Macaca fascicularis: one gene and its partner. The protein of the gene in region 1 purifies or fractionates together with the protein of each later gene. This does not show direct contact. Links are inferred from orthologs where the notes say so. Each region holds a gene or a part of one and is shown on either strand. Other genes may lie near its edges.

Region 1 (8,104 bases):
ACTGGACTTCACATCCAGGCTGTCTGACCTCAGGTGCAGGTAACAGGGAGGGGAGGTGAGAGGCAGGCAGGGCCTTTCTGCTGGGGAGGAGGCACGTGGGGTGTGCCTGGAAGGAGAGAGGGCGTTGGGTAAGCCACGACAGCAGAGGGGAAGAGGAATTCCAGGAAGAGGGAAGGCTGCAGGTCTCCACGGGGCAGGCTGAGTATTTCAGCTGGTCTGTCCCTTCACATACCCAAAGAGAAGAGAGGTGGTCATAGGAGGATGGTACTCAGGCACCCCCAGGCCTCAGCAATCCCCAAACCCCTGCTCTTGGGTGAGACCAGCATTTTTTTTTTTTTTTTTTTTTTCCTTGAGACAGAGTCTTGCTCTGTCGCCCAGGCTGGAGGGCAGTGGTACGATCAGCTCACTGCAACCTCTGCCTCCCGGGTTCAAGTGATTGTCCTGCCTCAGCCTTCCAAGTAGCTGGTATTACAGGTGCCTGCCACAGTACCCGGCTAATTTTTATATTTTAAATAGAGATAGGATTTCACCATGTTGGCCAGGCATGATTTTTGTCTGATCTACTTAACATTTGAACTATCTAATATTTATTTATTTATTTATTTAAGACATGTCTCGCTCTGTCGCCCAGGCCAAAGTGCACTGGCATGATTTTGACTCACTGCTTCCTAGGTTCAAGTGATTACCGTGCCTCAGCCTCCCAAGTAGCTGGGATTACAGGCATGCACCATCCGCCCAGCTAATTTTTGTATTTTTAGTAGAGACGGGGCTTTGCCACATTGGCCAGGCTGGTCTTGAACTCCTGGCCTCAAATGATTCATTCGCCTGCCTCGGCCTCTCAAAGTGCTGGGATTGCAGGTGTGAGCCACCGCACCTGGATAAAAGCCAAAGTCTTTATCACCCCATGTAAACCCTAAACAATCTCCTGCCCCTTGACCTGCCAGACCTCATCTCCCACGAGCCTCCTACCCTCCTCTCCTCTCTAAACCCACCTCTGGGGATGTGTAGCTGCTCTACCCGCCTGATAACCTCATGGCCCCCCCTTCACCTCTTTCAGGTTTTTGCTCAAATGTCACCTTATGGCTAAGACCTTCCCTCTCCAAATCAAATTGCAAACTGCCTTCCCCACCCCTCAATTCCCTTCTCTGCTCTGGTTTTCTCCATAGCAGGTGTCTATCACCATGTGACAGTTTACAGCTCTGCATCTGTGCCCACCTCTATTGCCACTAAGCTGTAAGCTACGTGAAGGCAGAGATTTTGGTCTATTTTGTCCCTTGTGGTACCCCAAGTGCCTAGTACATAGCAGGCACTCAATACATGTTTGTTGTCTAAATAAATGAACCATGGGAATGCTATTTAATAGGAAGCTACAGAAGGATTTCGGGCAGAGGAAGATATGGAGGGGGTAGAAAGAGAAACTTCAGGGAAACAGGCTATCGTAACAGTCCCAGAGATGGAGGATAGAATGAAAATCAGAAGTCGCATCTCGATAGTTTCAGGTGCATCTCGACTCTCTGCTGTGCAGACAGAGGGCAGCGTGGAGGGGAGAGCCCAAGGCCTGACTCCATCTGCACTGGCTGCCAAGCACCACAGACATGTCAAGCTCCTGCCTTCTCTGCAGCTCGGCAGTGGACAACTGAGAGGCTGGAGCCTGCCAGGTGAGCAAGGGGACAGATCATAAGCATTGAGGGTGTGGCCTGGGAGCTTCCAAAGACACAATCATTCTTTCTCTGCTATTGCTATGCCCTGTTGGCCTCTGCGTTGCCAGGGATCAGGGAGGCTAAGGTGCCCTGTCAGCTAGAGAGCTGGAGCTCCTCCCTCTGGATAGTACATCTGGGTTGATACAAAGAGTGTCACCTCCCTTCATCCTCCAGGTTGAGGTGATCCAACTCAGTGGCTTTCAAAGTTTTCAGCCTAAGATCCACCACAGTAAGAAATTCATCTCAGCCGGGCGCAGTGGCTCACACCTGTAATCCCAGCACTTTGGGAGGCCGAGGCGAGCAGATCACAAGGTCAGGAGATCAAGACCATCCTGGCTAACACGGTGAAACCCCATCTCTACTAAAAATACAAAACATTAGCCGGGCGTGGCAGCGGGCGCCTGTAGTCCCAGCTACTCGGGAGGCTGAGGCAGGAGAAGGGCGTGAACCCAGGAGGCGGAGCTTGCAGTGAGCCGAGATCGGGCCACTGCACTCCAGCCTGGGTGACAGAGCAAGGCTCCGTCTCTGGGGAAAAAAAAAACAACATGAAATTCATCTCATATAAATAACCCAGAACATACACACAGTTGCGTAACTGAAACAAAGTTTCATATAACTCTGTCTCTACTATATGTCAGGCAGTGATGTTTTCTACTTCATTCATTCAAAACAAAAAATGCTAGCTTCAATTCCACTAAATCAATTTTACTTCCCACTAATAAATCTCAATCTGCAATGTGAAAAGAACTCATCCATGTCTCCCTATGGCTACCTGCCTCAAAGTCTCCCAGCAACAGTGAGTCCTTGGAAAGGCTGGCGTGGTGGCTCATGCCAGTAATCCCAACACTTTGGGAGGCTTAGGTGGAAGGACTGCCTGAGACCAGGAGTTCAAGACCAGCCTGAGCAACATAGTGAGACCCCCCCCCGACCCCCGGTCTCTCTTTAAAAAAAAAAAAAAAAAAAAATTAGCCCAGCGTGGCCTGCAGTCCCAATGACTTGGGAAGTTGAGGCAGCAGGACTGGTTGAATCCAGGAGTTTGAGGCTGCAGTGAGCTATGATCACACCACTGTGTTCCATCCTGAGTCACAGGGTGAGACTCTATCTCTATTCGGGGCGGGGCCAGGCACGCTGGCTCACGCCTGTAATCCCAGCACTTTAGGAAACTGAGGCAGGCAGATCACCTGAGGTCAGGAGTTCCAGAACAGCCTGGCCAATAAGGTGAAACCCCGTCTCCACTAAAAATACAAAAATCAGCCAGGTGTGGTGATGCACACCTGTAATCCCAGCTACTTGGGAGGCTGAGGCAGAAGAATCGTTTGAACCCAGGAGGCAGAGGTTGCAGTGAGCTGAGATCTTGCCACTGCACTCGAGACTGGGTAACACAGCAAGACTTCATCTTAAAAAAAAAAAAAATGTAAATCATTATTTCCCTGCCTAAAACCTGTCAACTGTCACTGTCACATAAAACAAAACCCAAACTCCTTTCCATGAGCCGCCTAAGGCCCTACATGATCTTGTCTCTGACTTCCCCTGACCATCCAGGCTGGTAGCCACTTGCTGGGCCTCCACCAAGCCAAGCCCCAGTCCACCCAAGGTCCTTTGCACATCATCTATTCCCCCACAGGGATTTCCAAGGTTGCTCCTTTTTATTAAGTATCATCACCGCCTGCAGGAGAGGATAGGTTCCCTGGCCACCCTATTTTAAAAGCCTCCCCCAACTTCCTCCCAGGCACTACCACATCTCTATTTTCTTTCCTTAATGGGTCTCACCTTAATCTGGAACTACCTGGTCTATTTGCTCAGGTGTTGTCTTCTGCAATAGAATGTAAGCTCCATGAAGGCTTCTCAGTGCTTCAGTTTCCTCAACTATGAAATGAAGATTAAAAAAAATATATATCCACTGCTAGATCTCTCAATACCTAGAACAGTGCCTGGCACGAAGTTGACACTCAATATAGTACAAAGAATACTTTATATTTAATCTTCTCATTAGCCCTATTAATAGAGATTTATCATCTTCAATTTGGAAATGAGGAGACTGAGGTTGAGAGAGAAGTAACTCATCCGAGGTGGAATCAGGACAGAAACTAGGGTCTCGTTGATGTCAAAGATCCTTATTCTTATTCTTAACCAGTATACTGCACAGATCTTCGATAAAAGGCAGTATGGTTAAGTGGGTAAGAGCCTGAACTCCGGAGCAAAACTACGCGGGTTCAAATCCCACCGCAGCTGCTTCGCATCTGTGACCTACTTGAGTTGTCTACGTCTGGTATTCTTCCCTATTTTCATCCCTAAAGTAGGGAAACTAAGTACCGACCTACAAACAGCTGCGGGGAGGAGTAAAGACGGTAATAAACGTAACCTATGGGAAGGTTCGTTATTACTTGACAACATGTTTTCTGCCAATGTAGGCGGGTAAAAACGCTGCAAGCGGGAGCGTCACCTGGTTTCTAATGAGCCATCACCACAACCCTATGAGGTAGGAATTTCTATTATCCCCATTTCACAGATGAGGAACTGTTGAGATCGCTAAGATCTCTTCTTTCCGCCTCCAAGCCCAAGGAATTCTAAAGCTAACCCAAAGGAACGACCTTGTTTGTTTACTGACACCTCCTCGGACCGAATGGTCAGGGCCGTATCCGGAGCACAGAGTTGGCTCAGTAAACACTGAATGGTTGCCTGAATAAATGAACGAGGAATCCCAGGCCTCGCCAGGCAGAAGCTAATCCGGTTCAGCTGCGAAGAGGGGGCTCCGGCAGGCGCAGGTGCCCTCCCTGCCCATCGGGGCGGGCCGCCGACCCCGAGCCTCGCTGTCCAATGGGTTTCTGCTCCCTCGCGGGTGGTCAGGACCCCTTCTCACGCCCACCACGCAGTCCCTGCCGCGAGCCGCCACCACACCCGACGCCGAGGACAGGTGTTCCTTCCGTAGGATGCCCCCCAGGCCCGGGTGGGGCAGGTCGGCAGGACCCTGAGTCACCGCCGGCAGCGTCGGCCGCGGCCTCCCCAACTCCCAGGTGTCGGGTCGGGGAAGTAGGAGTCCGGGGTCGGCCTGGAGCCGGCTGCCCCTCCTCCCGCCCGAGTCCCGAGAGGCCCCCAGCCCCTCAGCACGGCGCGGCGCGGGCCTCCTTGGCCTACTCGGGAATCTAGCCCAGACCCACGTCATGAGTGCGGTCCGGCTCAAGCCCCAGCTCGGGCGCTGCCAAGATGGGACTCACCTCTCCGCGGGGGCCGAGCGCGGACGGCGGCAACCGCCCAGTTACCCGCGGGCTGCAGATGCGGCGGCGGCCCGGCTCTCCTCTCAGGCGGCGGCCATGTTGCTGGTGGAGAAACTCCGGCGGACACGTGGGGGGAGCGGGCCGGCCCCAGCGCTTCCTCTTACCCACAATGCCCCGCCCCGGCGCACACGGCTCCGCCCCCTCCGCCGCGCCATTCATGCAGGCCGTGAGCCCCGCCCTGCAGCAGGGGGCGCTGATGGCACGCGCAAAACAGCCGGGCGTGTATGCAGCGGGGAACAAAAAGAAACCAACCCTGGCAGCGGTGGGATTCGAACCCACGCCCCCGAAGAGACTGGAGCCTTAATCCAGCGCCTTAGACCGCTCGGCCACGCTACCCAGCTGGAGAAAGGGTTTGCCAGAACGCTACTTAATGCTTTTGCATTCGCATTTCATCTGGAAATCGCGAGGCGTTTTCGCTGAGGTTTTTTTGTTTAATGTGTGTTCAAGCTGATCCCTATAGAATTATTTTAAAAAGCCGTGTGCTGGAAAATAAACACTTGCTCCAGTTTTTAGACCCAGGTTTGTTCCGAATAGGTATTAGAGCAAAACTCATTTTTAGAAACTGTACTCTGAGATGGATGGTTACCCTGGAGACCCCTGGTTAACTCACAAGTAATCCATACGACCCGGATTGCGTGTCTCCGGGAGAAGAAATCGATCTGATCAGAAACACGCCCTAGGGGATCTGACGGCCAAACCCGGGGGCTGGTCTGGGCAGTTGTCTCTGAGAAATTATGTGTTTAAATTTTTACTTACACAAATAACACACGAATTATTGTAAAATATTTAAACTTTGCAGATAAGGTACAAATGCTCTTTGACTCTTGACTCGCATCCTAGGCCCCTCCGCAGAGGTTAAGTAACCATTATTATCAGTTTAATATGTACTATGGTTTGAATGTGTCCCCCAAATTTCATGTGTTGGAAATTTAATCCCCAATGTGGCAGTATTGTGTGGTGGGCCCTTTAAGAGGTGATTAGATCATGAGGGTGGAGCCCTCATGAGTGGATTAATCTATTCATGGATTCATGGGTTAATGGATTAATAGGTTATCTTGGGAGGGGGACTGATGGCTTTATAAGTGGGAGCTTTATAAGTGCTAGACCTGAGCCAGCAAGTGAACAGCTCAGCACCTCCTCCATATCATGGCTTGTACTGCCTGAGGACTCTGCAGGGGTACCCCACCAGCAAGAAGGCCCTCGTCAGATGCACACTCTTGCGCTTGGACTTATCAGCCTCCATAACTGTAATAAGTAACTTCCTTTTCTTTACAGATTACCCAGTTTCAGGTATTCTGTTATAAGCAACAGAAAATGGACTAAAACACTATATATCTTTTGTACAAAAATGTACAAAAATTACAAAGAAAAAAAATCATCATCCATAGTGCCACCACCTGGCATTAAATTAATGACTATCATTATTGTGGCTTTTTTTCTTTTCTTTTCTTTTTTCTTTTCTCTCTCTCTCTCTCTCTTTTTTTTTTTTTTTTTTTTTTTTTGAGATGGAGTCTCGCTCTTGTCCAGGCTGGGGTGCAGTGCTGTGGTCTCCGCTCACTGCATCCTTCGCCTCCTGGGTTCAAGCGTCTTTACTAAAAATATAAATTTAGCCTGGCGTGGTGGCACGCGCCCGTAATCCCAGCTACTTGGGAGGCTGAGGCAGGAGAATCGCTTGAACCTGGGAAGCGGAGATTGCTGTGAGCCGAGATTCCGCCACTGCACTCTAGCCTGGGCGACAGTGTGAAACTCCGTCTCAAAAATAAATAAAGAAAAATAGATCACACTATTACAAATAGAAATTATTAGACCGTTACAAATAAAAATAAAGTCCCCTCCCAAACATTCTCCCCTGTCTATAACCGTCATGAATTTGATGTGTATCTTTCCAATAATTTCTTACATTTTTACATATAAAACTTATGTAAAAAACACATAAAATGGTTATCTGTTTGTTTTTCATTTATATAAATGTTAGCACATTGTACTGATATCTAAAACTTGCTTTTCTCATTTCAACAGTATTATTATTATTATTTTAAGAGAGTCTTGCTCTGTCACCCAGGTTAGAGTACAGTGGCACAATAGTAGCCTAGATCTCCTGGGCTCAAGTCATTCTCCTACTTCAGTTTCCCAAGTAGCTGAGATTACAGGCATGAGCCACTGTGCCAGGCCCAACATTGTGTTTTTGAGGTCTGTTACGATGCCTATAGATCTAATTCATTCATTCCATGCCATGAACAACTTTTAAGTTGTTACTAAATTTTTGTCATTACGCACGATATGGCAGGAAGTACCCTTGCACATGGCTCCTTGTCTTGTGTATGGACATTTCTCTAGGGTATACACTAGAAATGAAATTGCTAGACTATATTTATACTTTACCTAGTATTATATTATAATAATATTAATAATAGGCTGGTCTTGGTGGCTCACTCCTGTAATCCTAGCACTTTGGGAGACTGAGGTGGCAGGATCGCTCGACGCCAGAAGTTCAAGACCAGCCTAAGCAACGTTGAGAAACCTTGTCTCTACCAAAAAGCAAAAGAAAAGAAATTAGCCGGGCACGGTGGCGTATGCCTGTAGTCTCAGCTACTTGGGAGGCCAAGGTCAGAAAATCCCTTGAGCCAGGGAGGTCAAGGCTGCAGTGAGCCGAGATTCAGGCACTGCACTCTAGCCTGGGTGAGAGAGGAGACCCTCTCTATATAGATATAGATATGCATATATTTTTCCATTTTGCCAAAGTATATGATTTTTGATGACTTTTTTTTTTTTTTCTATTTCTTCTCATGTTTTCTATTTCTTCCTAAGTCAATTTTGGCAAGTTGTCATTTTCTGGGAAAACAAAGCCCATTACTTGATTTTTCACATTTATTGGTGTAAGAACTCCCAAATCTCCCTCATATCTGAAGTTTTCTCCTCTATCATTCTCTATCGTTTCTCTTTCCCTCTGTCATTTACATGGGTTACTTTCTCCATTATGCTGTTTAACACAGGGAGTGGAGTCAATGCTTAAGGAGACTGAATGGGGGAATTAGGCAGGAACTCTGCTAATGCTGGTGATGCTTTACACACATCAAAAACTATATAAATCACACTTTTTAAGTAGAATTCTCATTTTGCATTGACCGG
Region 2 (7,465 bases), on another chromosome or scaffold:
GAAATAAGAGCCAACTGAAAAAGCTCCCAATGGTCAAAGCTGAAACAATTTGAGGAACAAAGTAAGTAAAGCGTATTAGATTATAACCCCAAAGTATAAGATAAACGTCTGTGAGTCCATAGTGATATAAATAAATGACTGAACTTATTTAAATGGAGGAGAAAAGACAAATCTCTCATGTAGAATTCCAAATAAAATATGTAGACACACCATCCTAAAAGGGAGAAGGGCAGCATAACTCCCCACTTTTTTTTTTTTTTTTTGAGACGGAGTTTCGCTCTTATTGTCCAGGCTGGAGTACAATGGCGCAATCTCGGCTAACTGCAACCTCCTCCTCCCGAGTTCAAGCGATTCTCCTGCCTCAGCCTCCCAAGTAGCTGGGATTACAGGCATGTGCCACTACACCTGGCTAATTTTGTATTTTTAGTAGAGATGGGGTTTCTCCATGTTGATCAGGCTGGTCTCGAACTCCCGACCTCAGGTGATCCACCCGCCTTGGCCTCCCAAAGTGCTAGGATTAAGGCGTGAGTCACTGCACCGGCTATAACTTCCCACTTCTTACATGTGGACTGTGTATAGGGAATATATATATATATATATATATACACGTTTTTTGTTTTTTGTTTTTGTGACAGAGTCTTGCTTTGTCACCCAGGCTGGAGTGCAGTGGCACAATCTCAGCTCACTGCAACCTCTGCCTCCCGGGTGCAAGTGATTCTCCTGCCTCAGCCTCCTGAGTAGCTGGGATTACAGGCGTATGCCACTATGTCCGGCTAATTTTTGTACTTTTAGTAGAGATAGGGTTTCACCATGTTGTCAGTCTGGTCTTGAACTCCTGATCTCGTGATCCGCCTGCCTCGGCCTCCCAAAGTGCTGGGATTACAGGCGTGAGCCACTGCGCCCAGCCCTCATTCAGTATAATTTAGGAAATCAAGAGGAATATCTTTACAGTGGAGAGACCAGAAAAACACTACTTCAACCAGATGACCAAGGTCAGCATCAATACTCATAAATCATGTTTTCGGTATGTGCCCTTAATATTATACAATACAATGGTACTTCACCTCTGTGATCCTCCTCCTAAAAACCCATAACCTCAGGCTAATACAGAGAAAAACATCAGACAAATTCAAGCAGAAAGGCATCCTACAATATAAACAACTCCTCAAAACTGTCAGTCATCAAAAACAGTAAAGTGTGAGAAACCCGTCACACTTAAGAGGAGCGTAAGGAGATGTGACAACTAAATATAATGTGGAATCCTAAATGGGATCCATGTACAGAAAAAGAGCAATAGCTAAAAACCAAAGAAATGTCAATCAAGTATGAACCTTAGTTAATAATGTATCAGTATTCATTCATTAATTGTAACAAATATACTAATCTACTTTATTTATTTATTTTTTTGGAAATGGAGTTTCGCTCTTGTTGCCCAGGCTGGAGTGCAATGGCGCGATCTTGGCTCACCGCAACCTCCGCCTCCCGGGTTCAAGTGATTCTCCTGCCTCAGCCTCCTGAGTAGCTGGGATTACAGGCATGCGCCACCACGCCCGGCTAATTTTATACTTTTTTTTAGTAGAGAGGGGGTTTCTCCACGTTGGTCAGGCTGGTCCCCACCTCCTGACCAGGTGATCCGTCCGCCTCGGCCTCCCAAAATGCTGGATTACAGGCGTGAGCCACTGCGCCCGGCCTTTTTTTTTTTTTTTTTTTTAGAGACAGAGTCTTGCTCTGTCGTGCAGGCTGGAGTGCAGTGGCGCAATCTCGGCTCACTGCAACCTCCACCTCCCGGGTTCAAGTGATTCTACTGCCTCAGCCTCCCGAGTAGCTGGGATTACAGGAGCCCGCCACCGGGCCCAGCTAATTTGTTTTTGTATTTTTAATAGAGATGGGGTTTCACTGTCTTGGCCAGGTTGGTCTCGAACTCCTGACCTCGTGATCCACCCGCCTCAGCCTCCCAAAGTGCTGGGATTACAGGCGGTAGCCACCATGGTCGGCCAATCTACAATTTTTTTTTTTTTTTTTTTTTTTTTTTTTTACGCGGAGTCTTGCTCTGTGCCCCAGGCTGGAGTGCAGTGGCGCGATCTCGGCTCACTGCAAGCTCCGCTCCCCCGGGTTCACGCCATTCTCCTGCCTCAGCCTACCGAGTAGCTGGGACTACAGGCGCCCGCCACCTCGCCCGGCTAATTTTCTTGTATTTTTAGTAGAGACGGGGTTTCACCGTGTTAGCCAGGATGGTCTCGATCTCCTGACCTCATGATCCGCCCGTCTCGGCCTCCCAAAGTGCTGGGATTACAGGCTTGAGCCACTGCGCCCGGCCCAATCTACAATGTTAATAGGGGAAACTGTGCACTGGGACAAATGGGAACTCTTGGCACTATCTGCTAAATTTTTCTGTAAGTCTGAAACTGTTCTAAAATATATAATCTATTAATTAAAACAAAAACAAAAAAAACCTCGAGGGTGGGTGTGGTGGTTCACACCTGTGTGCAATCCCAGCACTCTGGGAGGCTGAGATGGGATGACTACTTAAGTCCAGGAGTTTGAGTCCAACCTGGGCAACACAGTGAGACCCCATCTCTACAAAAAATAAAAAAATAGACTATGAAAAATAGTCTCAGGTACCTGGGAGACTGAGGTAGAAGGATCGCTTCAGCCCAGGAGATAGAGGATTCAGTGAGCCATGATCATGCCACTGCACTCACCCTGGGTGACAGAAAGAGACCCTGTCTCAAAACAAAAAGCTAAAACAAAAATCAAGTAGCAATTCAAAATTCACAAGAGATTAGTTGGTGAAAAAAATATTAAATATATGTAGAAGGTAATCTGTCAGAAATACATACACACATATGAATTAAAAAGCTGTTAAAGAAAGATATGTACCAAAAATTAACAATGGTTAATTTGAGGGATGAGGTTTTTTGGAAATTTTTTTAGTGCAGAGAGTTGTGTACCTTTTTTTTTTTTTTTTTTTGGGGACAGAGTCTTGCTCTGTCACCCAGCCTGGAGTGCAGTGGTGTGATTTCGGCTCACCACAGCCTCCACCTTACGGGTTCAGGCAATTCTCCTGCCTCAGCCTCCCGAGTAGCTGGGATTACAGGCACCCACCATCACGCTTGGCTAATTTTTGTATTTTTAGTAGAGACGGGGTTTTGCCATGTTGACCAGGCTGGTCTCAAACTCCTGACCTCGTGATCCACCTGCCTCAGCCTCCCAAAGAGCTGGGATTACAGGTGTAAGCCATCACACCCGGCCTCTTTTTTTTTTTTTTTTTTTTGAGACAGGTTCTTGTTCTGTCGCTTAGGCTGAAGTGCAGTGGCAATCTTGGCTCACTGCAGTCTCGACTTCCCCAGCTGAAGCAACCCCCCACCTCAGCCTCCTGAGCAGCTGGAACTACAGGCCTGAGCCACAATGCTTGGCTATTTTTTTCTTTATTTTTGGTAGTTTTTGTAGAGACAGGGTTTTGTTGTTGCCTAGGCTGGTCTTGAACTCCTGGGCTAAAGTGATCTGCCCACCTCAGCCTCCCAAAGTGCTGGAATTACAGGCATGAGTCACCACGCCCAGCTAGAAATGGCTTGCTTTTAAGAATGCTACCAATTCCACTGTAAAAGGACAGATTTCCGTCTTTTTTTTTTTTGAAACGGAGTTTTGCTCTTGTTGCCCAGGCTGGAGTGCAATGGTGCGATCTCAGCTCACTGCAACCTCTGCCTCCTGGGTTCAAATGATTCTCCTGCCTCAGCCTCCCCAGTAGCTGGGATTACAGCCATTCGCCAACACGCCCAGCTAATTTTTGTATTTTTAGTACAGACGGAGTTTCTCCATGTTGGTCAGGCTGGTCTCCAACTCCCGACCTCAGGTGATCCGCCCGCCTCAGCCTCCCAAAGTGCTGGGATTACAGGCGTGAGCCACCGCTCCCAGCCAGATTTCCCCTGTTTACAGTGGAAGTGTGGAATGCATTTCCTTTAGCTATATAGTTCTTATTTAGAATATTTATTGGATATTGACTAAAGAACAGATATCAAAACATGGAATGACCTACAAGAGAGACAAGAGAGTTTCCTTACTAAAGATGTTTACATAGAAGCTGGGCAACAATTTACTAAATAGGGTTTGTAAGAAGGATGCATGGCTCTAGTAGAGGATTCCCTGTGATCAGCATGATTTAGCATTGTGTCTCACATATAGTAGGTGCTCAATAAATATTTGTTGAATGAATGAATAAATACATTATTTCTATGGGCCTTTCCAAACTTGAGACCTTGTGATCCATAAAGCCTCCCCTCACCATTCCAGTTCTCCCTGCTTTCTTCCTTCTCTAGATTGCAGAAACAATTATGAAACACTAATATTATGAACCACTAATTTAATGGCTCTTAATTACATACTGTATTGTCTTTTATTGTTCCCTAGTTATGTTAGTTTTTATTTTTATTTTTATTTTATGTTAGGAATTTAAATTCTGCCTCCCCAAAAAGAGTGCTAGTTGCCAAAAATCAATTCTATTTAACTAACGTTTATTGGGCACTATATATTAACTACTAGCACCTATCCTACAAAACCTTCTATTCTAAAAGGCATAGAGTCATTAAAGAGAGAGAGTGCACTAAGTGTCCCAATAAAGGTATACACAAAATGCTATCGTCAGACGGGGGAACAATTCATTTTGCAAGAAAGGCAGTCCAGGAAAACTACAGGTAGCATTTCAGCTAGTCTTCATAGATAACAGGAGTTTGTCAGGCTCTTGGGATAATATTAATAGATTGGGAGGAAGTTGATGCTATAGCAAAGAGAGGTACAAGAGGCTGTCTCGTTTTCTGCTTTAATGTCTCTCCCCGTGCGCGACAGAAAACTACCATTCTCTAGTATACAATCAATACAGAAATGGGGGCCCAGGGGAGAAAAGGTAGGGAGCCAGAAGGGGGCTGATCCAACAACCTGACGGAAAGCATTATCTATTTCGCAGCCTGGCCGGGATGAACAAGTTCGGCAAGTGTGGGACCGAACCAGGTCAGAGCCACCAGGTCGGAGCCTTACCTGCTGTCCCTCCCCCACGCGGAGCCCACGCCGCGGCCAACTTGAAATGTACTGGGCTTCCTCAAGTCGGTGGCGTTCTAGGCCCGCCTCCCGGAGCTCCCTATTGGTGAGTTTTCTCGGCCAATGCAGGAGAAGCTGAGGAGGGAAGTCCGCCCTCTTGAAGCCTAGGAAGAGAAGGAGGGAGGGAGCGAGTAAGCCCGGAACCGAAGCTTGCGAAGCGGGTCGCAGAGGGAGATGGGGGTTGCAGAATCATCTAGGGTCACTTATTTCCGGTCTCACTCCAGATGGAAGGAGCCACTGGCCGGCAAGAGTTCACCAAGGGAACGTGACACTCGTATCTCATCGAGGGACCGTGTTGAGGGAGCCCCTACAGAAAGGCCAAAAGAGGAGAGGGCCTACGGAGAAATGAACCCCTGTGAAAGCTGCTCTTTAGGGATCAGTCTCTTTGTGACTCTAGCTTCACAACTTGGTCTCTCCATTACTCCAGCCTTCCTTTCAATCATACACTGCCTCTCTCCAGCACCACCAATGGATACTTCTTTTCTAAAAATGTTTTTCTGTGGGTTGCTGCCGTGTCTGTGAGAAGGTGGGCAGAGGGTTTGAGAAAGGAAGGATCTGGGATCAGAGTACCAGAGTTGGGGAGACAGGGCAGAAGCCCAGCTTTTTCTGCATTTTCCACTACTTTCCACTTCCTGCGCGCTCCTTGGGAAGGCGAGCAGCGTGGAAGGAGGAGTCCTATTTTCGCAGAAAACAGAAACAAGGGAGAAAGGGTTCAGAATGGAGATGAAGTCTAGGAGTTAGTCAAGAAGAATATCCCAGATGTAAGAGAAAATGACCTGTAAACTGGGAGGCTGTAGGTGTAGCGGCAAGCGCCCAGTCTTTGCCATAGAACAGAAATATAGCTGTGAAACTTTGGAGAACTTGCTTAAACTTATGAAGTCTGTTTCCTCATCTGTAACAAGAAGATGATAGTTCCTATCTTACAGAGTTGTGAGGATTGAAAAGAGTGTATGTAAAGCACATGGCACATAGTTGACACGTGTCCAAGAAATAACTAGTAAAAATGGGTAGCTTCCCTCAAATCTTTCTCTCTCTCCCATACCTGGGAACATTATTTTCAGTATCTTGCATCTGGGGGGCCTCCAGCCTCCGAATTAGCTCAGGACCCTGAGTGAACTTTTTAAAACCTTAGGATTTTTCTTCTTCTCCCACTTTCCTTGGTGCCTTCCAGCTGGACACAAACTCATTCCTAAAATATGTGGATGGAAGCTATGGTAACCATGGAGACAGGGCAGGTGGCAAGGAGAGGCAGAGACAGTGTGAGAGACCAATAGATAGGAAGAGAGAAGCTATAAGGAGCATTTCAGACAGAGATCTTCAAGCAAGATGGAAAAAATAAGACGACTAAGCAAGACTGAGATTAAAGAGGTGCAATGTGACAGAGTGTATTACCAGGTTCGCTCTTCTTCCTGCCACTTTCCTATCTCCCTGCCCACAATAATACGGGGTGGAGGCACCTGGGAATGTCCCTTGCCCTGTCTAAAAGTGCCCCCATATCCACCTTCCTCATTTATCTAGGTCTATATAAGGGAGCTGAGGTCCGAGTTTCTCTGCGATGGGTGTTCCGTTTTTGAGAGATGGGGCGGGGGTGTATCTGTGTCTGACTCCAGGCTAGACCGTGTCTCCTTCACAATTAAACTACAGGAAGAAAGCCACATCTCTTGCCTCTCTTTGCACAGTATGGACACCGGCTGTGGATCCAAAAAGCCTGTCTACACCTTTCTTGCACAGTGTGCCATGTGCCGTGCGTGGTAGGTCAGGTCTGGCGCACAGAAGCGCATAAACACACCAAGTGCAGAGAATGGGGATCTGCTAAAGCTCAGCGAAGAATCTGGACGATGATGGTCCCTGTCTGGGTCGCGGAGGAGTCCCCTAAGGAACACTTAGGTTTGTTGGGGCTGAGGGGAGGTCGGCTAAGAAAAGGAAGTCAGGATTGGAGCCTCTAGGTTTTTGAGGGTTTATGTGTGCATGAGTGGGGGAGCAGTTTGGTGCCCGACGCCCCCACCCGCAGAGACTAGGCTATAAATAGCACAGCAGAGCTCCGCCCCCCCTTCCCCCCCCCCCCCCAGCTTCTCTCCTCCCGAGCCGGCGCTGTGCCCGGGGCGCTCCGGGAGGAGGGACGACGATCCGGCGCTGGGGCGCAGATACTGACACCAAGGGAATCCGGGTGCCCCCCCTCCACACCATGCGGGCCCCCAGGAACCTGGCTCCGCCACCTCGGCTGCCCCGTGGCCACGGCCCCAATCTTGGCCAGGAGGAGATTCTGCGGACATTCAGGTATCTATCTGGGCGCACAGCCTGGGAGGGGAAAGAGCAAGGAGTGATGGGGAACATCGCAGGGGCAAAAGAACCCCCCAATTCTCCCTCCACCCGT

Evidence for each region. The genes of interacting proteins can lie anywhere in the genome.
Region 2: the proteins of POLR3E (region 1) and POLR3GL purify together in Homo sapiens (co-immunoprecipitation; 5 studies listed by BioGRID and IntAct, counting the BioPlex papers as one, with this or other methods). This does not show direct contact. The link is inferred for Macaca fascicularis from reciprocal best matches to the Homo sapiens genes POLR3E and POLR3GL.

Annotation. Positions count from the first base shown.
Region 1 is NC_088394.1:21,282,072-21,290,175, reverse strand, and holds the start of POLR3E (DNA-directed RNA polymerase III subunit RPC5), read right to left. Parts: upstream 5,034-8,104; 5' UTR 4,916-5,033; intron 3,567-4,915; 5' UTR 3,471-3,566; intron 2,226-3,470; exon of another isoform or gene 1,968-2,225; intron 107-1,967; 5' UTR 1-106. UniProt on the Homo sapiens protein: DNA-dependent RNA polymerase catalyzes the transcription of DNA into RNA using the four ribonucleoside triphosphates as substrates.
Region 2 is NC_088375.1:113,448,815-113,456,279, forward strand, and holds part of POLR3GL (DNA-directed RNA polymerase III subunit RPC7-like), read right to left. Parts: intron 7,390-7,465; 5' UTR 7,365-7,389; coding exon 7,295-7,364; exon of another isoform or gene 7,182-7,294; intron 5,196-7,181; coding exon 5,032-5,195; intron 1-5,031. UniProt on the Homo sapiens protein: DNA-dependent RNA polymerase catalyzes the transcription of DNA into RNA using the four ribonucleoside triphosphates as substrates. Specific peripheric component of RNA polymerase III which synthesizes small RNAs, such as 5S rRNA and tRNAs.